4 linked regions of the Diceros bicornis minor genome follow. The protein of the gene in region 1 purifies or fractionates together with the protein of each later gene. This does not show direct contact. Links are inferred from orthologs where the notes say so. Each region holds a gene or a part of one and is shown on either strand. Other genes may lie near its edges.

What was found.
Region 2: the proteins of POLR2F (region 1) and RPAP2 purify together in Homo sapiens (affinity purification with mass spectrometry; 4 studies listed by BioGRID and IntAct, with this or other methods). This does not show direct contact. The link is inferred for Diceros bicornis minor from reciprocal best matches to the Homo sapiens genes POLR2F and RPAP2.
Region 3: the proteins of POLR2F (region 1) and POLR3G purify together in Homo sapiens (affinity purification with mass spectrometry; 3 studies listed by BioGRID and IntAct, with this or other methods). This does not show direct contact. The link is inferred for Diceros bicornis minor from reciprocal best matches to the Homo sapiens genes POLR2F and POLR3G.
Region 4: the proteins of POLR2F (region 1) and POLR3F purify together in Homo sapiens (affinity purification with mass spectrometry; 4 studies listed by BioGRID and IntAct, with this or other methods). This does not show direct contact. The link is inferred for Diceros bicornis minor from reciprocal best matches to the Homo sapiens genes POLR2F and POLR3F.

Annotation. Positions count from the first base shown.
Region 1 is NC_080764.1:11,849,032-11,856,948, forward strand, and holds the start of POLR2F (DNA-directed RNA polymerases I, II, and III subunit RPABC2), read right to left. Parts: upstream 3,016-7,917; 5' UTR 2,928-3,015; coding exon 2,908-2,927; intron 1,546-2,907; coding exon 1,476-1,545; intron 1-1,475. Other genes in the region: C25H22orf23 (UPF0193 protein EVG1), read left to right, coding at 3,567-3,705, 4,536-4,598. UniProt on the Homo sapiens protein: DNA-dependent RNA polymerase catalyzes the transcription of DNA into RNA using the four ribonucleoside triphosphates as substrates.
Region 2 is NC_080743.1:28,575,308-28,582,294, reverse strand, and holds the start of RPAP2 (putative RNA polymerase II subunit B1 CTD phosphatase RPAP2), read right to left. Parts: upstream 3,016-6,987; 5' UTR 2,768-3,015; coding exon 2,533-2,767; intron 2,318-2,532; coding exon 2,272-2,317; intron 1-2,271. Other genes in the region: GLMN (glomulin), read left to right, coding at 3,675-3,726, 4,124-4,194, 4,627-4,752.
Region 3 is NC_080740.1:16,947,974-16,955,466, forward strand, and holds the start of POLR3G (DNA-directed RNA polymerase III subunit RPC7), read left to right. Parts: upstream 1-4,478; 5' UTR 4,479-4,617; intron 4,618-7,493. Other genes in the region: acyl-coenzyme A thioesterase MBLAC2, read right to left, coding at 3,437-3,890. UniProt on the Homo sapiens protein: DNA-dependent RNA polymerase catalyzes the transcription of DNA into RNA using the four ribonucleoside triphosphates as substrates.
Region 4 is NC_080758.1:45,143,453-45,151,098, reverse strand, and holds the start of POLR3F (DNA-directed RNA polymerase III subunit RPC6), read right to left. Parts: upstream 3,016-7,646; 5' UTR 2,740-3,015; coding exon 2,678-2,739; intron 1,609-2,677; coding exon 1,491-1,608; intron 1-1,490. Other genes in the region: DZANK1 (double zinc ribbon and ankyrin repeat-containing protein 1), read left to right, coding at 4,849-4,957. UniProt on the Homo sapiens protein: DNA-dependent RNA polymerase catalyzes the transcription of DNA into RNA using the four ribonucleoside triphosphates as substrates.

The DNA.
Region 1 (7,917 bases):
GAGATGACACTTGGACAAAGACCTGAAGGAGGTGAGGGGCAGGTCCTGTGCATATCTAAGGGAAAAGTGTGCCTGGAAGAGGGAACAGCATGATCAAAGGTCCTGAGCAGGGGTCTGCCTGACATGACAGGGAAAGCTAGAAAGGGTAAGGTCACAGAGGAAGCAGGCAGCCAGATCATGGAGGATCTTGTACGTCTTTTTGGCATTTACTCTGAATGAGACGGGGAGCCACTGGATGAGGGTTCTAAGCAAAGGAGAGACACAGTTTGACTTAAGATTTAAAAGGATCATCCTCAATACTCTGTTGAGAATATCCTGTAGGGGGCAAGGGTGGAGGCAGAGAGACCATTTAGGGAGACCAATAGTAATCGATCAGGTAGGCAGGTAAGAAAGATGACTCTGGCAGCAGGAAGGCAAACGCAGCAGACTGAAGGCAGGAAAACCAGTAACACAATTTCTGCAGTCACGTGGGTGTAGAGCAATGAAGATCTAAACCGGACTGCGGCACTAGGAATGGAGAAACGGAACAGGGCTGAACCACATGTAGGAGGCAGAATCAACAGGACAGGCATGGAAGGGACCAGAGGGATGAAGAAGGAGGTTTCTGACTCAGTGAATAGGGACCCGAGAGTGCCATGCAGACAGAGGAAATCCAAAAAGACAGCTTCAGCTTCCTAGACTAAAAAAATCGAGGGATCACTCTCTCTCCAGGAGACACAAAGCACCTCTTCCTCCATCAGTCACACAGGACAGAAAGCCCTATTTTATTCATGAAGCTGGTAACCCATCCACCTAAATGATCAAGCCAGAAGGCTTGGAATCATCTTTGCCATCTCCCACTTTCTCAGCCCCACACCCAATCCACCAAAATCTCTCTTTCATGTTTTCTCATCACTGACACTACCAGCATCCAAGTCCAAGCTACAGGTCTCTCACCTGGAGATCTATGCAAGTCCCCTAACTGGTCTCTCTCTTTTACTCTTGCTCCTCCCCAATTCACTCCTCATTCTGAGGCCAGAATGCTCTTTCTAAAGTGTAAACTGGATCATGCCACTCCCCGACTCAAAACTGGTCAGTGGCTTCCCGCTACCCTTAGGCTACAATAGCCTGCCTGATCTGGGCCCTAACCTGTCCAGCTTTATCCCAGGTCACTCTCCTCCTTGCTCCTTATGTAGCCCCACCCTGCAGAGCACCCGGCACCTAATAAACATTCAACAAGTGTTCACTGACTTGCTCACCCCTCAGAGAACTAATTGCCCCAGAAGCCATGGGCTGTGGTCCAAGTGGACAGAAGCCTTCAGGACCACCTGCAGGGCTTCTCCACTACCCAGGACTGGAACTCTGCTCTAACCGGGGGGGGCTTGTGGCAGGGGCCCTGACCATGAACAGGAGGGAGATGCATTCAGGCAATTATCACCGCTGGGCTATCTGGCAGCTTGGGCTGCAGACACAGGAGCCCACAGCTAAATACTGACCTCCTCGGCCTTCTCCAAGTCATCTAGCCCTTCATCCTCCTCCACATCATCAAAGTCGTCACCATCAAAACTGTACGAGAAGAAGAGGCCAGTTAGTTGAAGCATCACTTACTAGAATCCAAGAGGACAGGGATCTGTGTCTCACCCCACATGTTAGAGGCACTCAATAAACATCTACTTAATGAGTGAATCAAACTTCTGTTCCATTTACTCCTTCAACCTTTCCTCATCAGCCCCTAAATTTTGCTAGGACTCACTCATCATCACTGTTTCTCTCTCTACTGGATCATTCCCATCAGCATATAAACATGTAGTTATCTCCCCATCTTAATAAACAAAACTCATTTCTCTATTCCCTCCCCACGGAGCCCTATTTCCACGCTCTCCTTGAGAGCAAAATTCATGAAAGAGTCATCCACCTCCACTGTTTCCAATTCTTTTCTTCCCATTCTGTCATAATCTCACTCCAAGAAGACTTGCACCTCCCCAGCTCCGTCAAAACCACTCCTTTCAAGCTCGTTAATGATTTCCACGTGGCTACACCCAATGGCCTATTCTTGTTCTCATTTGGCGTGATCTGTCAGTTGGCACACTAGGTCACTCCCTCTCGCTCAGTACACTCTCCTCATGTGACTGCAAGGACACCTCACTCTCTTGGTGTTCCCCAACCTCCCTGGCTGCTCCTTCTCAGCCTCCGTTGCTGGTTTCTCCTCTTTCCCCCACCAGCACTCCATGTTGGAATGCTCTGACGGTCAGTCATCTCCTCTTCTCTACTGACTCTCCCCTGATGAGCTCACCTGTTTCTTCCTTCTGATTAATATACTTAGGCTGATGATTGCCCTATTTTTATCTCCTCCAACCCCCCATGTCAGGAAATCTTTTTGGCTCTAGCTTCAAAATAAACCCAGAATTCAAAACCACTTCTCACGACTCCTAGTACAAGCCGCCACCTTCTCCCACGTGGATACTTCACACCTCCCAGACCTCTACCATCTCCAGGCCTGGCCTGACCCTCCTCTGGATTACCTCTATACTACATCTACTACGTAATCTCACGCGACCCCGTATTATCTGTTTACGGGCCTGTCCCCTCTTCTAGAAAAGAAGCACCTGGAGAGCAGGGGCTACGCCTAATTCACCTCAATACTCCCATTACAAGACACAGAGGCGGGGTCAGTGGAAGTCTGCTGAAAGACACCCTTCTCACTGATCCTTTCTGGTCGTCGAGCCTGGGGCTTTCTGTGCCCAGCCTCTGGCCCGGTCTATGCTCCCGGTTCACCGCCCTTCCCTTCTCCAGCTCCGCGGGCCCTCAGCACCCCTAGCCCCTCAGACACTGCCCCTCGACCTGGCTCCTCGGCCTCCTCTGACCCAGGCCCCCGCCTCAGCCGCCCCTTCCGAGACACCGCAAAGGCCACTTCGCTCCCGCACTCACTTGTCCTCGTTGTCTGACATGACGCCCGCGCCGCGGCGACGCGGGTCCGCACCTCTGACCCACGCAGCGACCTGTCCACAACGCGCCTTCTCCTCCAGCGGCGCCACGCGTTACTCTGCGCCTGCGCCGTGACCCAGAGGCAATCACTTCCGGGAGGCAAGCCGGAGCGATATATGTGCGCATGCGCCCAGAGACGCGTGCTCGTTACCATGGTAGCCAGAGCGTCTAGCTGCCGGCTCTGGTGCCAGAGATCTCCAAGTATTTTTGCGGGGCCCCGGTGAGGGTGCCGCGGTGGAGCAGTGGTTACGGTCTCTGGAGCCCGCGCCGCTCTCTGTGGGGACAGGGGCACCCCGCCGGGGTCTTACTTTAGGGTGAGGTTTCAGTTTTGGCGTATCACCCAATGGGCTCTGTCGTAACCACCGCTATCCTAATGCCCCCTTCCTCCTAAGGGGACTTCCCTGCCACAGGCGCCGGGTTCAGCTAAGGTCTCGGTTCCCGTGTGTGTGCATCTGCTTGTGTATCTGTTCGGGGTAGGAGAATCGGGCACTGTCACAGTATTGACGGGCGGCGTCAGGAGTCTCTTGCGGCCCGAACCCCGCTCCCAGACTTGGGATGGTGTTGGGGGATGCGGGAGCAAAGATTGGACCTGGGAGACATGGATGTGTCATTGCGTTTTCCCTCCTCAAGGTCCTCCCATGGCTTCCCAGGAGAGGGTGGAGGCAGTGACCAAAGGAACAGGCTTCTGGCGCTGCCCCAAGCCGGCCACTTACTCCCGGAGGACCTGTGAGCTGCTCAGAGGTCAGTGCGCTGAAGGACACAAGAAGAGCAGTGGTAACAGTTACCCTGTGTAACTCACTTCTCCCCTACATGACCTATGTATGGCTTAGCGATTGCTATTTTAGTTTTACAGATAAGAAGCCTGGGGTTCAGAAAGGTTCAGAGATCCTACAACTTGCAAGTGGCCAAAAGTCAAAGAACTAAGAATTTTAGAGTTAACTCCTATGCATCCCTTAGATCACACTTTCAGGTTCCCCAGGGAAGCCTTATTTCCTCCCTATCCACCACCACCACAGTGGAACCCACTGTTATGTGCCCTCATACTACCAAATACCTTTTCCTTCATTGGGCTTAGTGCAGCCTGTGATCAGATATTTAGTGTGTCCATTAGATTAATATCCTTCTAACCCTCTAGCTCGTGAAATCCATCAGGGCAGGGATTGTGCCTGTTTTGGCTCCCAATTGTAGCTCCAGCCGCTGGCATATGCTTAATGAATACTTGTTCATTCATTCATTCACTCAAGAAAAAATTTTTAAAAGGCCATTGTGTGCTTTAGGCATTGTTCTAGGTGCTGAGGATACAGCAGTAAAAAATTTTTTTAAAAAAACAGCAAAAATTCTTGCTCTCCTGGAGCTAATATTCTACTAGGAAGGTAATACATGATACGTAAAATATATATAACTTAGATGGTGATAAGTGCTACAGAAAAAAAATTAAGCAGGAAAGGGAGAGTGGGAGTAACCAGGTGCAGAATGGGGGTAGGAGGTGATACAGTTTTAACTTTAAATAGAGGGAGACGAGGGCATCTGCCTACAGCCCAGGAGGCCTCATAGAATGCTTTATTTTGCAGTGATGATGAAGGAATCCAGACTGACTAACTTCCAACAGCGCCACATCATGGACACCATGAAAAGTAAGAGGCAGTCCACAGAGGCTTCCTGGGCAGAGGGGTTCTGGGCCACATTTTTAATACTCCTCTACATAAGGGGCAGGGGACCTCTTTAAAAAGAGGTCATTTAAAAAGACCAAAAAAAAAAATTGAATAGTATTTCTGACCCTTGCTCCTGGGGAATTGACTTTGTGGGACCTTTGCCTCTTCCCCAGACATGGGTCCTGACACAGCAAGCCTCCTGCAGTCCAGCTCTAGCCGACCTTCTCAAGAGATCACAGCCCAATAGAGACTTCCTGCCCAGCCACATAGTCTCAACACTGTCAAGTCTGCAATCTGTCCCTCCCTCCTACACACACACCATGTGAGTCCTCCAGGGGAGAGGACTGTGTGTGTCTTATTCATCATTTTATTCATTCATAGCTTAGCTAGCAGAAACAAGGTAATTGGCAGAATTCCAACTTAGGAAAAATATGCAAAACGTTTCCACAGCTCACCTCTGACCACATGTTGTATTATTTATTTTTAAGGAAAACAAAAAGTGGAATTCCATGGGCACAATAGCAAGCTGCCCTCTACGATCTTGAAAACAACCTTGCTTTCTGAGATTTAACTGAATCAACATTTAGTGGATCAGAACAGAGATCTGTAAAGTTGTCTCTTTTTTTTTATAATTTTTTTTTTTTTTTTTTGAGAAAGATCAGCCCTGAGCTAACCTCTGTTGCCAATCCTCCTCTTTTTGCCGAGGAAGACTGGCCCTGGGCTAACATCCCTGACCATCTTCCTCCACTTTATATGGGTGGCCGCCACAGCATGGCTTGACAAGCGGTGCGTAGGTGCGCGGCCGGAATCGAACCCTGCGCAGTCAAAGCGGAGCGCGCGCACTTAACCGCTAAGCCACTGGGCTGGCCCTGTAAAGTTGTCTTTAACAGAGAGAATGTCAGAAGGTCCAAGCCTGCTAAGTTTTACTTGAATCTACTGAAAGCTATTGCCTTCTCTCAGGAAGGAATGTGCTTATCAGGAGAGCATCTGATCAACCAAAGAAGCATAGGGAAGGGAAAGTCAGAGAGGCAAATATTGGCAGTGCCTGCCCAGCACTGGCTGGGGGAGGGAGGCTCCATCAGGCCAGTTCAGAAGTCAGATCTCCTTTCTCCTTGTGGACAAGGACAACTCAGGCTGCCAGAGCCACAACACAGCCGAATCACACAACTCAATCTCCACACTCAGTAATGTACTAATAATCTGGTGTCCCCTGTAGCATGACTACAAAGAGAATGTGCTAGAAAGTCCACTAAAAGTAAATAGCAGGAGACCGAGGACTGTGTCGGCCTTGTTTACCACGGTAGCCCCAGCTCGTAGGTGCTCGACATTTATTGAAGGACTAATTACATTAGTGGTTAGGCCAACACAAGTTACGGGTTCACCTGGCAGTTTTATTCTCCTTAGTTTTCTTTTTTAAAAATTGCCTCCAGGGGCCGGGCTGGTGGCACAAGTGGTTGGGTGCGCGCACTCCGCTGCGGCGGCCCGGGGTTCGCCGGTTCAGATCCCGGGCGTGCACCGATGCACCACTTGGCAAGCCATGCTGTGGCAGCGTCCCATATAAAGTAGAGGAAGATGGGCATGGATGTTAGCCCAGGGCCAGTCTTCCTCAGCAAAAAAAGAGGAGGATTGGCAGATGTTAGCTCAGGGCCGATCTTCCTCACAAAAAAAAAAAATTGCCTCCGAGCACTATGTTGAGTCTGCTTTCTTCTCCTAGAATCCCCTCTCTTCCTCTCTCCTCTTAACCAAATCCTACTTGTTGTTTTGAGGGCTGGTTCAAATTCTGTTGCAAGCCACAAATTCCTCTCCTTCACCTAAGCTTCCAGAATTCCTCGGGCCATAATTATTTGCTGAGAATGGGCCAAAGGAAGAGGTAGCATTTGGCACTGGACAGCCAGAAATAGGGAGTGGACGGAGCAGGAGGGACATTCTAGGAGGCATGGCATCTCCTCACAACAGAGAGAGAAAGCTGTGGTGTGGCTCCAGGTAGAGGGGTGAGAAGGGGATGGGAGTGGGAAATAATGGCAGCTCCATCCTTCTAGTTCCTCAGGACAGACACCCCAGAGTCTTCCTTGACTCCGTTCTCTTTCTCCCAGACCCACATCATCAGCAGTCCTGTGTGCTTGACCTTCAGACCATATCCCGCCTCTGACGCCTCTGCCCCTGCCCTCAACACTGTATTTTCAGCAGCAGCCAAAGGGGTCATGCCACTCCTCCGCTCAAACCCTGTGGTGGCTTCCCACCTTACAAAGTAAGAGCCAGTCTTTCTGGAGGCCTGCAAGGCCCTGTACTCCTCTTGCCCCCCGTGACCTCTGACCCCTACTTCCACTCTGCTCCATCTTCCTGGCCCCCTAGCCTTCTGGCTGTTCCTCAGACACTCCAGGCACATTCCCACCTCAGGGCCTTTGCTCTAGCCTTTCCCTCTGCCCGGAAAGCTCTTCCCCAAAATATCTGCACAGCTGGCTCTTACCACTTTTGGGTCTTTTCTTAAACGTTACCCTCTTCATGAGGTCCTCCCTGGCTACCCTATTTAAAACTGTAAATCCTGCTCAGACACACTGCTCCATCCCTGTACTGTCACCATCTAACATACGATATGTTTTACTTATTTTAGCATCTTCCACACCCCAAATGTAAGCGCCACGAGGGCAGGACTTTATCTTACTCACCACTTTACCCCCAGTGTCCTGGGCCTGGCACGTATTTGCTAGGTGGATGACAGAAGGCAGCTGGAAAGGTCAACAAGGTAGACAGGGGTGGATCAAAACAGGGGGTGGGGCCTGCTCTGAGCTGGGCTTTAGGGCAACTGAGAGGAGAGGCCAGTTAGCCAGGTAGGAGGGGACACACTTGGCTGGCCTGGGGGAGGAGCCCCAGATCTGGGTCAAGGCAAGGGGGAGGGACAGGAGGAGGGATTGGTGTCTATCACCATCAAACCACCCCTCCCTGCCCGTGGACCAGGCAGGTTTCAAGAATCCATCTACAGAAACAAAAGCACCAGTAGGAAGGCTTGATGTACGAGAATGTTTATTGCAGCGTTGTTTAAAGTAGTAACAAAAATGGAAACAGCCTGAATCTCCGAAACTAGGAGACTAGTCGAATAAATAATGCATCCATTCTAAGAACTAGTATGCAGCTATAAAAAATAAGTTATATAGGGGCCGGCCCGGTGGCGCAAGCGGTTGAGTGCGCGCGCTCCGCTGCGGCGGCCCGGGGTTCGCTGGTTCGGATCCCGGGCGCGCACCGAAGTACTGCTTGGTAAGCCATGCTGTGGTGGCGTCCCATATAAGGTGGAGGAAGATGGGCA
Region 2 (6,987 bases), on another chromosome or scaffold:
TGCTGCCTACCAACAAAAGCTACGTAATGTACTAAGATCCGTACACAATTTGCATTAGGAATTGCTGACTTAAGCTGTTAACTATCTCAGCCTGTAGTAACCACCACACTCCTCTTAACTGATGGATACCTACAGCTGCTTCCCCTGAACAGCCCTGTCTCACTGCTGCCCTCTGGCCCAAATGATGACAGGGAGTGTGGTGCACAGCAGCGGTTCTCAAACTTTTTTGTCTCAGCGCTCCTTTATAGAGCTTTTGCTTATGTAGATTGTATCTGTTGATATTTACCATATTAAGATTGAAAGTGAGAAAATTTTAAAGCATTTATTCATTCATTTAATAATAATATACCCATTACATGTTAATATATCTTTTAAATAAAAAATTTAGTGTGAAGAGTAGAATTGTTTTATATTTTTGCAAAGTTCTTTAATTTCTAGCTTAATAGTATTCACTTGGATTGAATGTAGAAGTATTTTTCAGTTGGACTAAATTTATAAAGGATAACTCCCCTCAACAACTATTTGGTTACCTCCAGGGATTTTAATTGTTTCATCATCCTGGAGGATCTGCTCAAAATACATTTTAGCTTATCTATGTTCCTGGCATTGTAGTGCTCAGAATAAAATATAATCTATTTAGGTTTGTGGTCAGATCAGTGTTGACGAGAGCTGCAAATTACAGTCATTATGAATATTAACTAAACTTTACTCTTGCAATACTTCCTAAAACCAAGTCAGGATAATCATGCTGCTCCACAGGGAAATCCTCTCCAAATGCAGATCTCAAATGTACCCAATTTCTCCACTTCCAGATGATCATCATCCCTAACATCCTAAAACTTTTTAAATTCTAACGCTTTATTACTTAAAGTTTTCCCATTTGCACTTAGAAAATCTAAGTTTCTCACCATGGCCTACCAGGTACTGTAAGAACGGAACCCTGCCTCTCTAACCTTTTCCTATGCTTTCTTCCCTTGCTCAGAACACTGCACACTACCCTGGGCATCTCTCCTTTCTTTAAACGTCCAAGCTTTTTCTTGTCACATATACTGCCACCTCTGGCTGGAGGTCTCTCCTCACTATTCTCTGTCTGGTTAATGCCTACTTAGCCTTCAGGTCTCAGCTTAATTATTACTTTCTCAGAGAAGCCTTTCCCTGAAAACTTGCCATCCTCTCTGTCAAACTCCAACTAAACTGGACTCTTATTATTAGTTCCTCCTCATCACATCAGAGTCTTTTCCTTTATAGCATTTATCACAATTTATAATTATGTATTTATTGGTGATAATTTAATAGGTATTTTTCTGTTCCACTAGACAGGACTGTGTTTATTCTGTTCAAAACCATATCCTCGGGGCCGGCCCTGTGGCTTAGCGGTTAAGTGCGCACGCTCTGCTGCTGGCGGCCCAGGTTCAGATCCCAGGCACGCACCAACACACCGCTTCTCCGGCCATGCTGAGGCCTCGTCCCACATACAGCAACTAGAAGCACGTGCAACTATGACGTACAGCTATCTACTGGGGCTTTGGGGAAAAAAAAAGGAGGAGGATTGGCAATAGATGTTAGCTCAGAGCCGGTCTTCCTCAGCAAAAAGAGGAGGATTAGCATGGATGTTAGCTCAGGGCTGATCTTCCTCACACACACACACACACACACACACACAAAACCATATCCTCAGGGCCTAACACAGGTCTAGTCTATCTTAGACTCAGTAAATAATTTTTGAAAGAATGAGTAAATTAAGGTCAAAGCCAATACTTCACAAAATGAGAAATCATAGATATATATTACTTAATCATCCTCATAGACTATTCCTATTCCAGAAACCCTTTGTGACAGGATATAAATCTTGCCTTTTTAGGAGAAGCCAAGAGACAGCACAGGACAACTTTTTGCTGAAAATATGGACATGATGTAAACAAACAACAGAAAAGGTTTCTTGGCGTCTCTGGCATACAAAGAAAAGTAGAAAGTATCTGGAGAGGTGGAAAAGGAGTACCTGGTTAATTCAGGACTGTTTATTCCCATAGACACCTTTCTACAGACACTCATACCTTCACCAGTGATCTACAAGTGTCTGATTTGGTTTTCTTAAAGCACGGAGTACGGGGATGTAACAGTCTGTGTGAGAACTATAGTGCTTCCCAGATATTCCCCTTCTCTCTCATAAGAATTTTCTCAAGGGTAGCACCCATTATTGTTTTTAAAAATGGTTCAAATAATATAAGATAAACAGATAAGAGAATGCAGTTGTCCAAGTAGTTCTCATACCTTTTGGAGGCATCCTCTTGTTGCAAGGCACTTGTCTGTTTAGTACCTACGATTAAAAAAACCCCAAAATCAGTAGGTCAAGTATACACAAACACACTAGGTTACAGGACAGATTCCTGCCCAAATATACTGCAGACCATTTTTTCTTCTTTTCCACACATTTCATTTCCAATCCTGTGTGTAAATCAAATGAAATGGGAAGGGATCCAATTTGTTTTTGTAAATTAATTAGTTATTCCCGAATTTTTGGTTAAAATGTACCTCTTTCGGGATTGAATTTTGTCTTGAAACACAGTTGCATAGTTAGGCACTCCTGCAAATCTGAGATCTGGCTCCTTTTACGGGCAACCTCTCTCCATCCCCCAAATGTTCGCTCCCAGGGAAAGGGAGGAGTATGACACCTCAGAGAACCGGAGCACCAGATCAGCAGGACATCTGGAAGGAGGACCAGTGCTAGGTTCAAGGCCAGCTGCGCACTGCCCGCTGACGCTGCCATGGTCACTTGCTCACTCTGGCGACTCCAGGCTCCCAGGATCTCTACTGCCCTTTCCCTCAGAGACTGGAGCACAGCCCTTCTGGGGAAAATCGTGGAATACTAGTGGAAAGAGGTGGAGGCGGCCGGAGGTCTTCCCCAGAACGCGCGAGGACGGCGGTGAGAAGCTCTCGGCCTTCTCTGCCCCGAAGACTACCTCCCCCGGGGCAGCCTTTCGGGAGCGCCCCGCGCGCCTGGTCTGGAACTCTGTCGGGGCTCAGTTCTCAGGGTCCAAACGTGGGAAGAGGCCCTTCTTCCTACCTGCGGCGTTTCGGGAGGCGCGGGGACCCCGGGCCTTGGGGCGGGCCGAGGGCAGCCTGGCCGGCTCAGCCATGGGACGCGTCCTCACAGGGTCGGGCCCCGCCTCGGCGTCTTCTCCCGAGGCTCCGCCTCCCTCGCGCAGCGCGGGGCGGGGCCCGGAGAGCGCCCTGCGCGGCCCCCGGAGGTGGAGGAGGCGGCTGAGAGGGGCGGGAGGGGTGGCCGGTAAGTGGGCGCTCCGGGAGTGCTGGGGGCTCGGGGCTTGCCGGGGGCCGTCAGCCGCGCAGGACTCGGGGCCGCGGACCAACTAGGCCCTGCGAGGTGGTGGGGCCCGAACGTCAAGGCGAGCAGGAATCGGGAGAAATGGCTTCCCTTGGATGCCGCCCGCACGCGCGCTGGGGTTTCATCCGCCCTGGAGCGCGCAGCCGTGAGGACCCCGCCGACCCGCGACCCCACTGTGGGCCTGGGGCTCGGCCTTCCTGCTGGGAGAAACGATGACCGGTGGCAACGGAACGGTGTTGTCCTGAGGGCCGCCGGTTGCCTCGTCTGCGTGCGATATAGTGATTTCACTGACTGGATTGATTATTTTGGGGAGTGCATCTCTTATAGAGAAATGTCTCGGTCACGCTTGGGGTGGAGGGCGTCTGAACTTGCACCCTCTCTGGGTGAGTTTTGTTGCACTGGCGGGACATTAAAACATAAAAAATTCCCTACTGATTTCAGGCCCACCTTTCGGAGATTTTTTCGGAAAAGAAATACTTTTCCTTTTTAAAGTCATTTATATAGTGCATATTTGTGTTGCTTCTTGAGAGTGTCTAGAGGATTTTTTTTTAAGTCTATCTTTCAAAACTATGCTCTAGAAAAGTTAAAAGATGCAACAGGAATTTTTTTTAAAATACATTTTTATTTTCTTGGGTTAACACTAACTTGCAGTAAAAGCATTTCAGCTTTACAAGTTTCCATTTTCTTTATTGTATTTACTAATAATTCATAAGAATGAAACATAACTTATTAATACTTCAGTGTAATATCACTTATAGTTAACAGTGTGTTTTATATTAGTACATTTCAGCCTCAAACTAGGAAAAACAGGAATGGCTGTGGAGGAACTTCAATCTATAATAAAGAGATGTGTAAGTAATTTTTTCTTTTTGTAAAGTTAAAATACCTTTCAAAATATGGGAAGGGTACAGATTATTTTTATTAACATTTGCAATCACTCAAATCGTTAATCTTCTTTAATCCTTGCTTCTTTTGACCTGTGAAAAAATAGCATGAGGGCAGGAAGGCAGATTGGATTATTTCTCTAAGTGACATACTTGTCTAAATAACCTTTTAAATTTTTGATGCTGATCCTTACCATAGATTTTTTTGGTACAATGGATTTCAAGATCATTCATTAAAATATTTATTAGGCTAATTCTAATTTTCATACATATGCTTGTGTGCAACTTATCTAGAATTTAAACAGATTTCCTTTTTTCAGAGAGTTAAATAAATCAGGTAGTTATTGGATTTGTATTTACCTCAACATGTTTGATTTTTGTTTATTTTGTTTTTGTTAGCAAATCCTAGATGAGCAAGACTTTAAAGAAGAAGATTTTGGCCTATTTCAGTTAGCAGGCCAAAGATGCTTAGATGAAGGGCACATAGACCAGCTATTAGAAATTATTCAAAGTGAAAAGAATAAGGTAAGTACAATCTTTGTGTGTACTTTTCAGTCTTTACTAGGAGAGAATAGCCGCATGATACTATTATTCATCCATTCATTTTTTTCATCAAACATTTAAGAATCAACTTAAATTTCCACAGTAGGAAACTGTGGGAAACAAAAAAGGAATTAGGACTATTCATATGCTTTCAGGTGCTTGCACTCTGGTGGAAGAGATGAACATGTAAACAGCTAGCAAGAAGGAGGCAGAACAAACAGATGCTTTACGTCTGTTAACTCATTTAGCCTCTCCAGAGTAAGTGCTATAGTTGAAATATAAGTAAAGTGCTTTAGAAGAAGAGGGATTACTTCTGGTTTGGGGATCAAAAGTGGCATTTGAATCATTAATTTACATTGAGAAATATAATTATCAGGCAGGCTAGATACTCATTTTTGGTGATCAGCACATTCTCTTCCTCCAGCCAGATGAATATAGAAAACCAAATATTAAGTCTTAGGTGCCTAGAATCAGAATATGGGGAGAGCTGGATGACCTTACTAGCCATTATCGTCCAGCTATGATTGTCTGAGAAGTCATTCTCCACAATGGGAAAGGATCTTTTTGGGATCAGGAACAGCTAGGACACAGTGTTGGCAATACTGCCAAATTTTGTGTCTTTGGACTCCCCTCCTTATACAAGGGAAGATCATCTTCTTTCCAGGAACATACTCTTTCTTCATTTATAGTATTATTTATTTATACAGGAGTTTTTTTTGTTGATACCACAATCTGGTCATGCTGGCCTGTGATTATATCTAGGGCTCCTTGATTGTATTTGGGAGGTTCCTAAAACTTTTGAATCACATATTGTTGTAGAATCTTTTAGTCAATAGTTCAAAGAGCTTATCTCTTTTTTATTTAAAAAAGATTTTAAAAATTAAAAAAATTTTTGAAAAAATAGAACATTTTATTTAATACATTTGTTTTTGATATGTGTTTATGGTACCTTTGTAGCCCAAAATAAAGTAAATTTAATGTTTTCTTTAACTCCTTAATTTTTCCCAATTGTGTTCTCAGAGGATAACCTTTGAGAGTACCTTACTTTTAGCTAATAATAATAAAATTAATAATAGCTAATATTTATTGTGTATTTACTATGTGCCAGATGCTGTCTTAAGTGCTTTACATCTGTTAGGTCATTTAGCCTTTCCAGAATCCCATAAGATAGGTACTACTATTAAATTCATTTTGTAGATAAGGAAACAGTCACTGAAAGATATGTGACTTGCCCAAAAGTAACTCAGCTTTTATGTGACATCCAGGATTCAGACCTACGAAGGCTGGTTTCAAAGCTCGTAACCACTCTGCTCTGCCTCTCGTCCGTGTAGCACTCGCAGGGAAGTTTTAGAGTAGAACAGAGGGAACTGGTTGATTGTGGGGTGAGACAGAGTGAGGCATCAAAGATGACTGGGTTTCTAGCCTCTGAGAGGATAATATATTGTGTACCGAACAGAAAAAGGCAACCTAAGAAGAAGAGCAAGTTTCCTGAAGGAGGACAAATAAGTGTATTTTGGAAATATTGAGTTTAAGATGCAGCAGGCAGTTAAAAAGTAATGTTTGGAGCCCAGTAGGGAAATAGGAGATTAAGATGTAAATTTGTGCATGATTATTAGAGATTAGATGATTGTGATAGATTTAAGGATAGTGAAGCTTAGTCTTAATAGCTTGAGAATTACCTTTGTAACGTGTGGTCTGCTAAATTCAAAGGTTCAAAAATTGATAAGACAGTGTTTAAAACTGACTGCAACCTTGGTCCAGCCCCGGCAGCGAAGTGGTTAAGTTCAGCGTGCTCCACTTTGGTTGCCCGGGTTCGGTTCCTGGGTGCAGACCTACACCACTCTATTAGCGGCCATGCTGTGCTGGCGGCCCACGTACTAAAAAATAGAGGAAGATTGGCATGGATGTTAGCTCAGGGCAGATCTTCCTCGGCAACAACAAGAAAAAAAACCAAAAACTGACTGCAACCTAATTTTCTTGCCAGGTGACACAATTAAGATTTACTATTAATATGCTTTTTTTTTTTTTTTTTCTGGTGAGGAAGATTCGTGCTGAACTAACATCCTTTTCCAATCTTCCTCTTTTTGCTTGAGGAAGATTAGCCCTGAGCTAACATCTGTGCCAATCTTCCTCTATTTTGTATGTGGGTCGCCACCTCAGCATGGCTGATGAGTGGTGTAGGTCTGTGCCTGGGATCCGAACCCATGGACCCAGGCT
Region 3 (7,493 bases), on another chromosome or scaffold:
CTTGGATATCTTGAATTCAATCATTTCTGTTATCCTCTCATGATATTAATAACAGTCCTCCCCTCTCAAGTTGCTTGATGCTGTTTGTTTTTGTATTTGATCTCATGTTAGAGGATTTTCCCCGATTTTTATGCTTGATTGCCTGTTTAAGAGTGGGGGATGAAAAGGCTGCTTGAAGCTCGTGCATGCGACCTAGTGACCTAGGCTTCACTGTAGAGAGATCAAGCCAAGGATTACTCAAGGATCAGCATCTTAGTCTTTCCTCTGGGGCTAGGCAGATTTCCCAGATAAGATTCTTCCAATTTCCTACCAATTTCCTACTAAAGGCCTGGCTCTCATCCTTCTGGGAAACTAGTAGGCATACATATATATATTATTCCTCCTATTTTCCATACTGAACCCCTGAGCTCAATAGTACTTAGCATCCCTCAAACAAGAAACCCCTCTGTTTTACTCTCCCCAGAGAACAAACTAACTGGGTGGGCATTCACTTAGGAAGAAGGGTTCTGGCGTTTTAACAGCGTCTTAAATGGCTTTCAATCAACTCTACTTATTTTAGTATTCTTTCCTTTGCCCCTAAGGTACCAGCTACTGCCAATTCCTGAGCCTGCAGGAAGGTCCCTGCAATGCAAACTGGACTGGCTCTTGATTTCCCATTGCTGGCATAGGGTAAAACTGCTAACTCAGTCATCACATTTACTCTCCAGCATCTGAAACAGTTCCTCAGTCAATGTGGATTTATACTTAAAACAGAGACAAACCACGGTCCCTGTACAGCACTCTTAGCGGGGTTTTGGGCAGGAGTCAAATTAGATGTGTCTGTTCAATGTGCTACCTTTCTGGAATCTCCTTTTTGTTTTTAACCTTCTCCAATTATTCAAGTCGATCTGAAAAAACTGCTCTAATATCTTTGTGACTCTGGGCAAATTGTTTAAACATGTATAATAAGGGCCAAAATGCCTGCACTTTATATCACTTGAGTGTTGTGAAAAATAGGCAAAATGATGTGTGCCTGTTCAAGAAGAATGTGCTAGATCACGCTATGGTTTATTGCTGTCTTCTTATAGGAAGATACTACTTCACCATTAGTAGGGTGAGTTGTTTTTCCATCAAGGATGATGCACTAGATGATGCTCTCTCCCTGTCTTCTTTGTCCCTCATTTACAAATCAGCTTTTAGGTTAGTGATACAGTGCATAGATTTATGCTTCTCCATGACAGGTGATCATCAATTCACTAAATGAAATGCAATATAAACTAATGACTTCAGCCTCCTTATGTTCTAACCAAAGCAATGAAGACTTTATGTTGTTTGGGTATGCGCTGCTCATGTGTGTGTAACTGTGTATGAATTCTTAATACAAATATTTTTTATCTCTTTCCAGGCATCTGAATTATGAGAATAACAAGTTAGCAGGCCACACCATTGAGAAGAGACAGGAAATTAATATTCCTGAGAAAATAGGAAATTAGATACAACTTGACAGGTGAGGCATCTAGCTCCTAATGAAAAACAACTTTTGATTTAACACAGTACTATCACCTTCAAAGTGTTTGGTAAATATTAAGCTTTCTTTTCACACCTTCAAAGGCTTAAAGCACCACACAGGGAGCTAGCAGGCCCCTTGCAGCAACAAAATGCTGTAATTCTACCAACAACTGGGATTTAGGAAACCTGGGTTCTAGTCCCAGCTCTTTCCCAAACTGGCTACGTGCCCTCAGATATGATATTCGGGCCTGCCTGGACTCTTCATCTACAAAATAATAATTCCTATCATTCTTTCACCATTGATTTCCTATTGCCACCAGCGCAGCAAAAGTAAATAAATCAAAAGTAATTTATTCGTTTAGAAAATTTAAATATATTTTAAATACTAATGTAAACATTTTTTGGTCTGGGTGCCAGAATTAATTTAGTCTGAATACCCATCAACTGCATGGAAATCCTATCTCTAAAAGTATCAATTTTATCAACAAATACAGTAATTTTTACCTCAAATTATCAGGTAATGTAAGACTCCCATCTAAACTCATTTTTTTCCTAATCTTTAGATTTAAAATTTTAATGAAAAGACTTTTTGGGTGGGGTGTGAAGTACAGAATCTTGCTTTGTATTTTTATATCTCAAGTGATCAAGATCTCATCTGTAAGATAAACTGATTTTTGTAAAATATTTCATAATTTGTCATATTGGTTGGTCATAAAGTGAGCCTTATTGTACCGCAGCAACTGGATTTTTCTACCTTTTAGAGGAACGTTTTAATAAATTAAAGTGGCAATTAAAATGGTTTCAAGATAGAAAGGAAAGAAGGGGGTTTCGCATCCTACTCAGAATTACCATAATATATTTATGGGGTAGGATTTATGGGGTATGATCTGCATACTTTGATCTATTGTGCCTTGGTTCAAACCCTAGCTTTTGTCACTATCTTGCTCTGTGGACTCTAGGCAAGCGATTTAATTGGGGGTCAGCCACGTCACTTCAAATGTGTTGTGAGGATAAAATGAAATCAACAAAAGTATTCTAAAAAGAAAAAAAGGAAATTAATACACATATATTGCTGCTGTGGCTAATCAGCTCAATTATTTAAGCACCTATTTGGGGTTGGGAAGGTTGGGGGAGTTGGGGCCTTACTCTATTTTATTTTATTCCAATAACTTCTCTCTGATCCCCATCCTGTCTTTCACAGAGCCAAAGAGGCCCATGCTTTAGTCCACATACTTCACCCATCACCGGAAATAACCTCCTTATTAATCTTTCTCAGGCCTTGCTTTCAACCAGACCAGGTATCTCATCATGTTAAGACTCAGCCATATTCTACTTTTCATGTTCACTATCAAGCTTGCTCTCTCGTGAGGCAACGTCAAGCACAGAAACCTATCTGGAAGATAAGGATGCACGAGCAGATTGGAACCACTGCTCTCTAAAGGCTTTCTAAGCCTACAGGTGGGAATTGCTCCTTCCCGGCGGTGACCGCTGACCAAGGCGGATGAAGTCAGCAGTTCTCAAAAGCACAGAGCATGACAAGCACTCTCCGGGAGGCGTCATTCCTTAAAAGTCTGCTCGCTAGAAAACCGCCTGGAAACGTCAGACAAGTGTTCGGGAAAAGAATGGGAAATCCCTAGTCACAAGTCTCTGTAGTGTTACTACTGTACCTTACACAAGAAACTGACCAGGGGGTGGGGCCGGCTTTCATTCGAGCACGCGGCATTGCTACACTGTGCCAGAGCTGGTCTCTGGAAGGGAAGGCTGCGATAGCCTTGGCTCCCGTGGAGGGGGCTTTTACGCAGGAAAGGGAGAAAAAGAAGTGGTGTTCCTGCGAGGTGACAAAACAAGCCCCTTACAGCCACGCACGTCTGCAGCATGCATCCCTCGGCCAGTTTCGCCCCAATCCCCTCCACTAATGTGAGAGCGCGCGCCCGTGAGGGCCCATTACCATCCTGCAGGATGAGGGTGGGCTGCACCGCCTGTACTCGGAACTGCCTGGCCCTCCAGCCGGGGCTGGGCGCCCGCACCACCTCACTGTCGGACAGCCAGGTCACGGTCTCAAAGTTGTCCCCGCGAGCCAGCGCCTCGGCCTCGGCGTGGTGCACCGCCACCCGGTCGAACTGGTAGAGGCCGCCGGAGTGGTCGAAGTGCACGTGGGTGGCCACAGCCAGCAGCGGCCGGCACGCCGCGTCCTCCTTGGCCCCGCGGTCCTGCAAGAGGCCGGAGGAGTACAGGTACTCGGGGAGGCTGCGCAGCCCCAGGCCCGTGTCGATCACCACGTCCTGCTCGGAGCCGCGCACCAGCCAGATGTTGGCGCGGTTGCCCGACTCATAGAAGCGTTCCTGAATCCAGAAGATGCCGTCGCCCAGAGACTTGTGGGCGTACCACTCGAGCGCCGACATGCTGGGCAGGGGTGCAGCCGGGCGGAGTGGGTGTGGGCGTGTGTGCCCCTCGCAGGCTGTCCAGACCCGAGGCGCTGCGGCGGTGTGGAGCGGTCTGCCCGCAGCCTGGGAGGAGGCGCGGAGCCAGGAGGGGGCGGGGGATGCGGGAGGGGCGAGGGAGAACCAGGAGGAGGAAGGACGCGCGCAGACGCTGCCCGGAGCGGCCACCGCACCCTCCCGCCTGGTCTGCAGAAAACAGAGGTGCTCAGCCCGCCCCGGGCGCTGGAGCAATCGCAGCCTCTGGAGCCGCAGCAGGAGGGAGCGTTCACGCAGGGGCCACTGCAGCAGACTGGAGACACAGAAGGCGACACGGTCCCCACCTCGGGGGCCTGACTGCAGAGGCCAGGAACGAGGCGTGGGAGGCTGCAGGCCCGCCCACCAACCACGCGCCGCGATGCGCACTTTCAGCCGGCGCGGAAAGAGTCTGGTCCAGCCGGTTGGAAGACTACGGTGCCTGCCGAGGGCTAAAAAGCTCTTGGCCCAGCGGGCGGGGCCTCGCTGGGGGGTGGGCGGGGCTAACTAGTCGGGATGCGAACGCGGCTCTGAGGCCGCGTGGAGGGCGGAGCACGCTTCTCCAGAGGTGGAACCAGCAGCACCCGAGAGCCGGCGTCCTCGGTCCGCACCCGTTCTTTGCCGGCCGGCGCTTCGGCTGTGCAGTGTTGCCCAAGCCTCGAGACTTAGTGAGCAGGTAACAGAGCAAGCGATTGAGGGCCTGGGAGGAGATGGAGAGGGTAGAGGGTAATTAAAGAGGCACATGGAGAAGGTGGGGGAAGTCGGGGATGAAGATTCATTAAAGCGCTTCTGGATTGAGAGGCGTTGGGACATAGCTTTACCTCCCCTTTTCCTAGTCCCTTCAAAATCTTTTAAAGTCGTCGTTTCCAGATCTTACCTAGTCTCCACTTCTTGGGACTGTTTGCAGTGAGTGAGAAGGGCATTTGTGCTCTTACCGATGGTAGATTTTCAAATCCGATGACTAGGGTTGGTTCAGGCACGAGTCATTGCCGCAGACTTGCAGCTAAGGACAGACTATTCAGTATGTTTTCTTAACTGTTGGCACTTTACCCTGTATCGTGGGAGAGGGGTTGTTAATAAGGATTTTCTTCTCTTCTACATAATGAAATTCTGTATTTCTCCCCCCATCCTCCATTTTTTCGGTTACTTTGTCCGCTCTTGGAAGAGAGCAAAGAAAGTTGGTAGAAAGGCTCAACTAAGGAAAGGTGGAGGCAGCCGCACCTTGTGAGGACAGGAAAAGTGGATACTGACTGGGTGTGCCCCCCCCCCCCCCGCGACATAAATCACCCCCACTATTAACACCATGTCCCTGTCCCCGCCCCACCCCACCCTTCCCAGCTATTGAAACATCTATTTAGGTGTCAAAAATTCCCTTGAAGACTTAACTAACCTCCCTACTCAGCCAGGAAAAATTATAAAACACCCATGAGACAGCATTATAGAAGATAATTAGGAAAACCTTTACTGTGGCAGCTGCTAGAAAGCCTTCCTAGAAAGAGAAGTGTACTCTCCCCCCACCCCCAAAGCCTTCGGTAGGGATGCAGCGGTTCTGAATAGTTTCCTCGTCTAGTTAGAAGTTATCCAGTCACTGTTCAGGGCTATCGTTATGTGCAAGTCCCTGAGCTAGGTGATCTGTGAAGAACAGAATTGTGCCCAAAAAAAGTCATGATCTGGGTTCTCAAGAATTAAGGGAAGATAATATCTGTACACAGATATTTGCAATATAAAGCAATATGGGATCTGTACCGCAGAGGAAGTCAAAACTAGGTGCTATAAAAATACAGAGGGCAGGGATTGTTGGGGTGTGGCATTTGAGCTGTCCTCAGGACGTTCTCAGGGAAGCACAGAGCTCACTGTAGTTTGGGTATCTTTCGTCTAGGCAAAGGGGATCCACTGGAGGTGAAATGGAGTGATATCGTCAGTAGGCCATGAGCTCAGCAATAATTCATCGGGTATTCACTGGACTTTTGCCAAGCTCTGCTGAGTGATGGGGCAGGAAAAGGGGAGTAAGTCTTCAAGGAGGCCTCACACTTACAAATCCCTCTGCTTGGATCAGACTTTCCCCTGGATATCTTCCTAGTCCTTGGCATGGCTCTTTCTTTCACTTTTGTCAGGTTTGTGCTCAAATACTACAGAATACGGGAGGACTTCTTCAACCATCCTTTCCATAATAGCATCCATGTTTCCTGTTTTTTCTTTATATCACTGATCACTACCTGACACTTTCTATAAAATATATTTATATTTTCCATTTCCCATACTAGACTATGAGCTCCATGAGAGCAGAGACTTGTTTTGTTCACTGCTATATTCCCAATGTGTGAAAGATGGTCTGACACAGAGGATGCTTCATAAATACTTGATGAGTGGATAATTGAGGAGCTTACTGGGCAGACAGACAAGAACTGACAATTACAACATGATTTTAAAAAGGGTAATAAAAGCAATGTAGTACTAGGGAAACAACGAGAAGGGAGAGGCCTACCTCCATGTAAGCTGGAGGAAATGGTCACAGACAAGTGTCATTTGCATAGTATCTTAAATAATGCTGGGGATGCTCAGGTGGAAGGCACCCCAGGCAGAAGTAACGCTATAGGCATGAGCTGGTGTAGCAGACTTGAGAGTGGCTAGAGTGTGGGATACATGGGGCGAGAGGCAGAAAGTTAGACTTGAAAGCTCTGCCAGTTAAGGAGAGTGGCACATCAAGGTTTGTGTTCTAGAAAGATGACCGGAGAGTGGCTTGAAAGGGGGAGTCTGGCCGTGGGAAATTTATTTGTTCTGTATTAGAATTCTAGGCGAGAGATGGTGAAGGCCTGAACTGAAGCAGAGGTGAAGGAAGGTGAACATGTGAGAGAGGACACAGAGCTGATAGTCTTCTGCTGTTAGATGAGGGGATTGAGGGAGATGGAGAGGAGGTCAGCATGACTACCAGGTTCTTATTGGGGCAACTTAGGTGTCATTCATTAGGAAAGATACTGTGACCTGGCTTTCAGTGCGTCCTCTAGTTTCCTTGCCTGCTTACGTCTGTTTGTACATTTATTCACCTAGCTAATATGTGCAAAAGACTGTGTGAGATGTGGAGAAAAATACATTTAAGCACAATCATAATTCATAAAAGGTTAGAACTAGGAGAAGTTTCAGAGGTTAGCTCAGCCTTTGCCACGGGGTTGTTTTTATAGTTGATTAGAATGGGCTTTTGCATTTCAGCTCATGGATGGTTGAACTACACTCATCAAGCCATCTCAAAACAATTCTGAATAGGAATTTTCAGGAGGCATCCCAAAATGGAAAGATGATGCTTCTGATTTTACATTTTTAAAACCAGTCAATTTTGCCATTACTAATTCACTTCACTGTAAAGATTAAACACATCCACGGGATTAAAAAACTATTCAACTAGCCTAGAAATGTATTTCAGGCAGCGTAATGGAGAAAGGACAATGGAGAAAGATATCCTGAGGCTTTACCCCAGTCCACTCGTTGTTAGCAATTAACTGCGTGTCTTCAGGTAGTCAGCTAACCTCTTAGGGCCTCACTTTCCTCTTCTATAAA
Region 4 (7,646 bases), on another chromosome or scaffold:
ACTTGCTCAGATCTGTATTTAAGACAGGATGGCTGCTCTGAGGCAGACGGAGCCAGGAAAGTCAGTTAGGATGCACTGTAATAGGCCAGGTAAAAGCCAAGAGTCTGAATACATGCAAGGGCAACAGGAATCGAAATGGGGGGGTGGGGACAAATTTGACAATTGTTTAAGAGCTAAAATCAGCAACACTTTGTGATTTATTAACAATTACTTCTTGCTTAAAATTCTTCAACAGCTCCACCACTTCCTACAGCCAACAGGACTGGCAGAAGGCGGGGCTGCAGAGGTGGTGAAAGAGGGAGGTGCCGAGGATCATTTTGACAGAAAGGAAAGGGCTGAAAGGGCGGTCCGAAGACAAAAAACATCTTCCATTGCTACATCCTTCCAGTATCCCTCCCTCTACCCTTCCTGGAGCTGAAGACCTTCACCACAGTGAACTGACTAGAAATCACCAACATTCCTTTTTCCCTTGGGCTAAAACACAGGTCGGCAACCTAGCCCCCTGTGTTTTTGTAAATCAGGTTTTACTGGAAAACAGCCATGCCCATGTGTTTACGTGTGGTCCACAGCTACTTCTTGCCAAGTTGAGTAGTTGTGACAGAAACCATATGGTCGGTAAACCCGAAAAAATGTACTATCTGGCACTTTATAGAAAAAGTTTGCCAACCTCTGTGCTAGAAGCTTAAAGGGAGTGGTTTAACAGAAGGTTCACCTGTCCTCAAATCTCCATATCAGAGCCCTTAGAAATCCAACAAAGCTTAAAAAGCAAATCAGTCTTCAGATGAGTCCTTGGTCCTTTACCTAATCGCTACTACAACCAGACTGAAATGCTCTCAGAATGTGGGGATTTTGATGATGAGGGAAAGGAAAGAGAAATAGGTAGATCTAGCGCACGGAGTACCAATAGGTGGTATGTGTTTGGACAGTTGAAGGAGAATGACATTAGGGCCCCAGGAGAGCAGAAGAGGTAAGAGCAGGTAGAGGGCGTCACTGAAAAACCCCAATGCAGTGTCACTGGGAGCTGAGCCCACCTCCTCCCAGAGGCCCAGCACTGTTGACATTCAACCAGACTCATTCTTGCCTCCTGAAATGCTCAGAGTGAGAATGTGGAGAGTAATATCCTAATGAACTGGCTCTGTGATGACTGTCAGAAAAATCAGGAGGGTAATATTTCATGGGGAATGGCCCAACACTAGCAGTAGGAAGCAAACAAGGTAAGAACAGACTATGCTTATGTGTCCTTATGTTTCTTAATGACAGATTAATAAATACATCAGTTAAAGCAAAATACATTTATTTCATTCATCTTGTAAAACGATGTGTAATTATTTCTTCTTTCCTCAGTTTAGGCAATCTGAGCTGTTTCCCAGTTTGCAGTCTTATCAAAGTCACAACCTAACACACTTTTGAATGGTTTCATGACTATATAATAGAAGTAATGACAATCATAACATATAAATAATTACGTGAACTAGTTGGATTCACCTTACCATGGACAACAGTCTATTGATGGCCACTGCCCGTTGCTGGGCTTCTATGTGAGGCATTTCATTCTGAATTACTTGGTCTGTGATTCCGTGAGGGAACTGCTGACATAATTCTATAATTCTAAGAACAAAGGCATTAATGATATTATTCATGTTTTCACCTATTTCAAGAGGCAGTGGGAGAAAAATACAAGCAAAACAGTTTGAAATTGTGCCTTTTCTTCACATTTGGCAGATAATCTGGGTTTCTATGATGGTTCTGAATCAAAGCATATTAGAAATTGAGGAAGATGCTTTCAAAATACACATTTACATTATTATTGTTATTTAAGGAAACTATTTCTTTTCCTCACCCATAGGAACTTCAAATTAGAACAAAGTCAAATGAAAACAGAAAAAAATATTAAAACCGAGGCTTCAATTTTCTCAGAAGGAGCAAGTATGACAAAGTTAAGACACAGTGCCTTGGATAACCGTAAGTCTGTAAGCAGGAGGCGAATCAGACACTTCTGATGGGAAGCCCAAGATTTGTTACGACAATTCATCACAGTTGGGGCCTGTTTTCGGAATTATCCCTACCAAACAAAAATAAGCCCGAATCTTCACCTTGTCATAAGATCATCATATGTCTTATTCCTAACAGTTTGAGAAAGTTGGGGTCTTCTAAAACTATGTAGTAACGTAAAAATTGCAGTACACGGATAGAGCATATAAAATTGGGAGAGCCTTTAGGTGCCCTAAAATCTTGACTTAAATACTGCATCGAAACCATTTGGCTTATGATGCTTCGTAATCGCAAACTGCACCCTAACTTTGCTCAAACGTTCTGTCGTGGGAGTTCCCTTAGCTACAAGACCGATCCTGGATCAGAACACGTATCCACAGGTACTACAGAAAAAACGCCAAGTCCTCTCTGAGCGTCCATCACCTTAATGTAGGAAGGAAGTGCATCACCACAACTTTTCGAACAGCCTCGGGGCAAGGTCAGCTACACAAGGTTGCAAACCGTCAAATCCGTTTCGAACTTCTTAAGAGTTCTGCTCTCTGAGGGTGGAGGTGGGCGGCAAATCCCGCACTCCCTCTCCTGCGCGCTCACGGAACTTGCTCTGGTATCTACCCAGGCTCCCAAGAGAATGGGTCCGGCTGCGGGGGCTCCCGAGCCGGGAACCGAGCCTCACTCAGTGGTTTACCTGTTTTCTATTTCCACCGGATCCGCGTCGGGCGGCTGCACCTTCACCTTCACCTCAGCCATGAGGGCGCAGTTCCCGGTCCCTGGGGGAGGAGAGGCAGGGAGCGGTCGGAGAGCCAGCGGGAGAACCCGGGAACCAGCGAAGACAGCACCCGGCCCGGGCAACGGGCCTTCTTCCTCGTGTCGCAGCCGGTCCTTCCTTGTCTGTCGGCTTGAGGTGGCCAAGCCGCGCCTGCTTCGCCTCCCTTGCCCGCGCCGCTAACATCTTTTTCTTGTTTTCCACAATGTCAGTGCTTTTCAGATGAACGAGCATGGCTTTCCCATTCTGAGTTGGGACTCCACCTCTAAGCACTCTCCAGCCTCTGTGAAGGCATATTCCCGGATGCCTACGGTGAAGCCTTAGGAAAGGAGCCCTGGCCAAGCGGCAGGGGCGGAGCTGGTTGCTAGGAAGCGGGTTTCCACCAATCACCTGCCCCGCAGTGGGCGGGGCGCGGCTCGCAGCGTCTGTGGTAACCCGGACTGCGATGCAGGAAAAGGCCAGAGGCGGTGAGAGGTGCGTTCCCTACCTGCGGGCGCCGGAGGTACCCCGGGGGTCCCTATCCGGGTTCTGGTGGCCGGCGGAGGAAGAGGAGGAGGGCCTCCTTTAGTCCAGCCGAAAGGGAACGGGCGTCCCTAGCTGCCCCTGGTGGGCGGGGACGGGAACGACACGGGGTTCCGGATCCCGGCGGTGAGGGGTAGTCTGGATGGAGGGAGTTGAGACGTGGGCGGTGCTGTTGATCCCACTCTGTCGTTTGGGCGTAGCCGATCCGCCTACTTCTTGATCCCCGTCGCTTGGGGCCACTGACCGCAGAAGCCTCCGAAGGGCAGCTCCTAGTGGCCGCGCGAATTATTTATTCCTCAACTATTTTTAGTTTGAACTAATTTTTCAACTATTTTTATTTTAACTGCCTCTCACTTAAATGGAAGAATGAGGAAGGGCACCCCTTGAGCCCAGCCCCCGTTCTGTAGGAGCTATTACTCTACTATCAGTATCTGCAGTTGAAATTCTTGGCCTCCTGTCTGAAACTATTCAACCAGGCATTAAGTTCACTCCTTAAATTTAGTTATCCTACTTTTGGGAATACAGTCTGTGACAAAGTTCAAATCCCAAGATGTTCAGAGCAGCATTATTTAGAATTGCAACAGCCAAAACTAAAAAGAAACTAGTAATAGCCTAAGTCCCCAACCACAAATTGATAAGTAAATACGTGGAAAATTATAAATGATAGAGTGAGGTGCAAGAAGTACACTAAGAAAAGTTGAATGAATATTTAGAGTACAACTGAGTAAAACCTACACATCCATAATCATTGAAATTTGAAAAGGCCATACAGAGATGTAAATGGTTGCTGTATTAAGGTGAGGGTCGCTTTTTTCCCCCTGAATCCTTTATGTATTAAAAATTATGACCTCACCCCCCCCCCCCCCCGCCCCCTATCCCCAGGAGAAAGATCAATAAGGCCTCCATACCCGTACTTAATTATTTATAAATACAAAAATGGAGTGAGAGACTTTTGTGTTTGTTGCTCACTGTTTATATCGACGCCAACTTGCTGTCAGCTGAGGCATAATACTCGGCCATCCCTCTAGAGTTTCTTTGCAGCTTTGAAATGCAAGAACCACTTGGCCACAGCTGCAGGGCCTTGAACTTGGAGCTTTCCCAAAGGAGTTGGCTCTAAATTAACGTTTAATGCTACATACAGAGTTACTTCTGTTCCTCTTGTGTGATGACTTGCCCTGAAGCCAAGAGAGGTGGCACACTAATAAGAGGCAGGAAAGGGTGATAATGATCCAGAGGGAGCTCAGATCACATCGTTAGTGATGGTCTCTGTTCTGACACATTCATTTAATTTCCCATTTAAGATAATTCCGTTTCCCCATCCCGTTTATTCGTACTCTTTTCCCAGAAGTGAGGCAAGTATTTAGAGAATCAAAACCCCACACAAGACCTGAAACAATTATTTCAATTAAAAATTGAATAATATTTGTAGGTGGTGTATTAACAGTATTCTTTTTAGTTTTTGCTAGTTTTACTGTATTTAAATGAGGTGCTTCTCTTCAGCTTTTGTGTTCAAATATAGGTGCCCATTGGAATTTATTTTCATCCACTTTTTTTTAATGTAAGGAGGGAAAATGACTGCTGGTTCAGTGTGTGTCCCTCAGATCATACCACTGCGAGTGCCTCAGCCTGGAAAAGCCAACCATGAAATTGATAACAATACACTTTTGGAAATGAAATCGGGTAAGAATCAAATGTACTTGAAATCCTTTAAAATAATTTTACTGTACTCTTTATGTTCATCTGGTTGTTGATTTACCTCTTTGCGTGCTTTCTATGGTCAGGACCTTAGGAAGTTTGTAAAACTTCCAAAACTTGAAACAGTGTTGTACCTGGTGGTTGATAGAATGGTGTGTATTTAGATTACAGAGGTTAGCTTTGACCAGTGTTTCATTTGTATAGGTATATAGTTGCAGCAGTGCCTTGACTCACGTTAGCCAAGGTAAGATGTCCCCGTGCTTCCCCAAACTTTCCCAGGATTCTTCTTATTTTGCTGGGATAGTAAATTTGACTTAGAAACAAAGGCTTTCCAGTCAGACAGGTTGAGATTGAATCCTGGCTTTGAGAACTTCTAGTGACCTTCAATACTTAGCCTTTCTGAGTCTCAGTTTCCTCATTGTTAGACAGTAATAATAATATCTACCATTTAGAACCATTGTAAGGATTGAATGAGTTGATATTTTATGTGAGATGCACAGGGTCTGGCACATAGTAATGCCAAAACAAATCTTAACTATTATTACAGAAATAAAGCAGTGACTGTATTTCCTGGTAATGCTGGAATATATATATATGTATACACATTCATATATATATATATCTACATACGTATGTATACAAAAACATATAATTTTTTTTTAAATTTTATTTATTTATTTTTTTTTCCCTGAAGCCCCAGTAGATAGTTGTACGTCATAGTTGCACATCCTTCTAGTTGCTGTATGTGGGACGTGGCCTCAGCACGGCCGGAGAAGCGGTGCGTCGGTGCGCGCCCGGGATCCGAACCCGGGCCGCCGGCAGCGGAGTGTGTGCACTTAACCGCTAAGCCATGGGGCCGGCCCAAAAAAAACATATAATTAACATAAGGAGAAGGGAAAGTTTTATAGATAAAACATATGAACAAATACTTGTTTAAAAACCTTTGAGATTCCAATTAAATATTTCAATAACTGATATGTGTAAAAACTATTTATCTATATTTATGGTGGTGTCTGTACTTCCTAGACTGAGAGTTCCAACTAAGAATATGTTACGTTATGCTATATTTCCCTTTATCTTAAAAGCTAATATTTTTAAAAATTTTCAAGCCAAAATACTAATTTTAATAAATGTGGCCATAACTCTTAGAAGAAATTGGGTGATTATTGACAAATGATGATATAAATGATATGGTATCCAAATTCTCTAATATTTAAATTGTTTAGTAAATAAAGAGGTTCTACAATTCAATAACAAAAAGAGTAATAACCCAATAGAAAAATGGCAAAGGATGTGAAAGGCCATTTTATAGGAGAGGAAATATGAATGTTTTTTAAACATATGAGAATGTGCTTCTACCCACCCCTGTACGTGCTTCCTGAGCAGACCTTCTCTCCCACTTTATTTACTCCATTGCATTCAATCACCACTTGACAGAATGTATATACTTATTTGTTTGTATACTGTTTGTGTGTTCTTCCTAAAACGGAGGCTACGTGAGAGCAGGGACTTTGGTCACTGGAATATTCCCAGTGCCTAGAACAATGTCTGGCACATAATAGGTATTCAGTAAATATTTGTTGAGTGATTGAATGACTCTTACTCAAAATGCAAGAAATATGAGTTAAAACTACAAGACATTGTTTTTTTGTGTGTGTGTGTGTGAGGAGATCAGCCCTGTGCTAACATCCGCCAATCCTCCTCTTTTTTGCTGAGGAAGACGGCCCTGGGCTAACATCTGTGCCCATCTTCCTCCACTTTATATGGGACGCCGCCACAGCATGGCTTGCCAAGCAGTGTGTCGGTGTGCGCCCGGGATCCGAACCAGCGAACCCCGGGCCGCCGCAGCGGAGCGCGCGCACTTAACCGCTTGCGCCACTGGGCCGACCCCTGTTTTTTTGTTTTTTACTGAGGATATCGGCAAAAATAAAAGAAAAATTGATAGCACACCGTATGGGTAAACAGGCACTTTCACGCATTGCTGGTAGCAGTGTAAATTGTTTCAACGTTCATGGAAGGAAGTTTGTCAATATTAACCAAAATTACAAATGCAGAAATCTTTTGACTCAACAGCACTAGTTTTATATATTTTATGTACATAAAAAGAATTTTTTACAAAGTTATTTGTTACAGTGCTTGTAATGGCAAAATAAAGAAAAGGAAAAAGAAAAAGAAAATAGCCTAAATGTCCATCTGCAGGGGATTGGTTAAATTGTGGTTCATATGTATAAGGAGAGAATACAATGCAGTCGTAACAAAGAATGAGGACACTCTTTATATACCAACATAGAACACTATCAAGATAATATTGTTCAGTGAAAAAAGAATTCTTTGGAACAGGGAATGGCATGCCCCCATTTCTGTTAAAAGAGAGGGGGAAATAAGAATATGTACATATCTACTTGTATGGATGTAAAATATTTTTGAAAGTATACTCAAAATACCATTGATTGCCTTTGGCCAGCAGATACCAGGGATGGGAGGGAGAGTTTTAATTATATATCCTTTTTTGACATTTTTAAAAAAAAATTGAGATATAATTGACATATAAGTTTCAAGTGTACGAGATAATGTTTTGATATATGTGTATATTGTGAAATGGTCACTACAAGTCTGGTTAACATCCACCACCTCACATAGTTAGAGATTTTTTTTTCTTGTGATGAGAACTTTT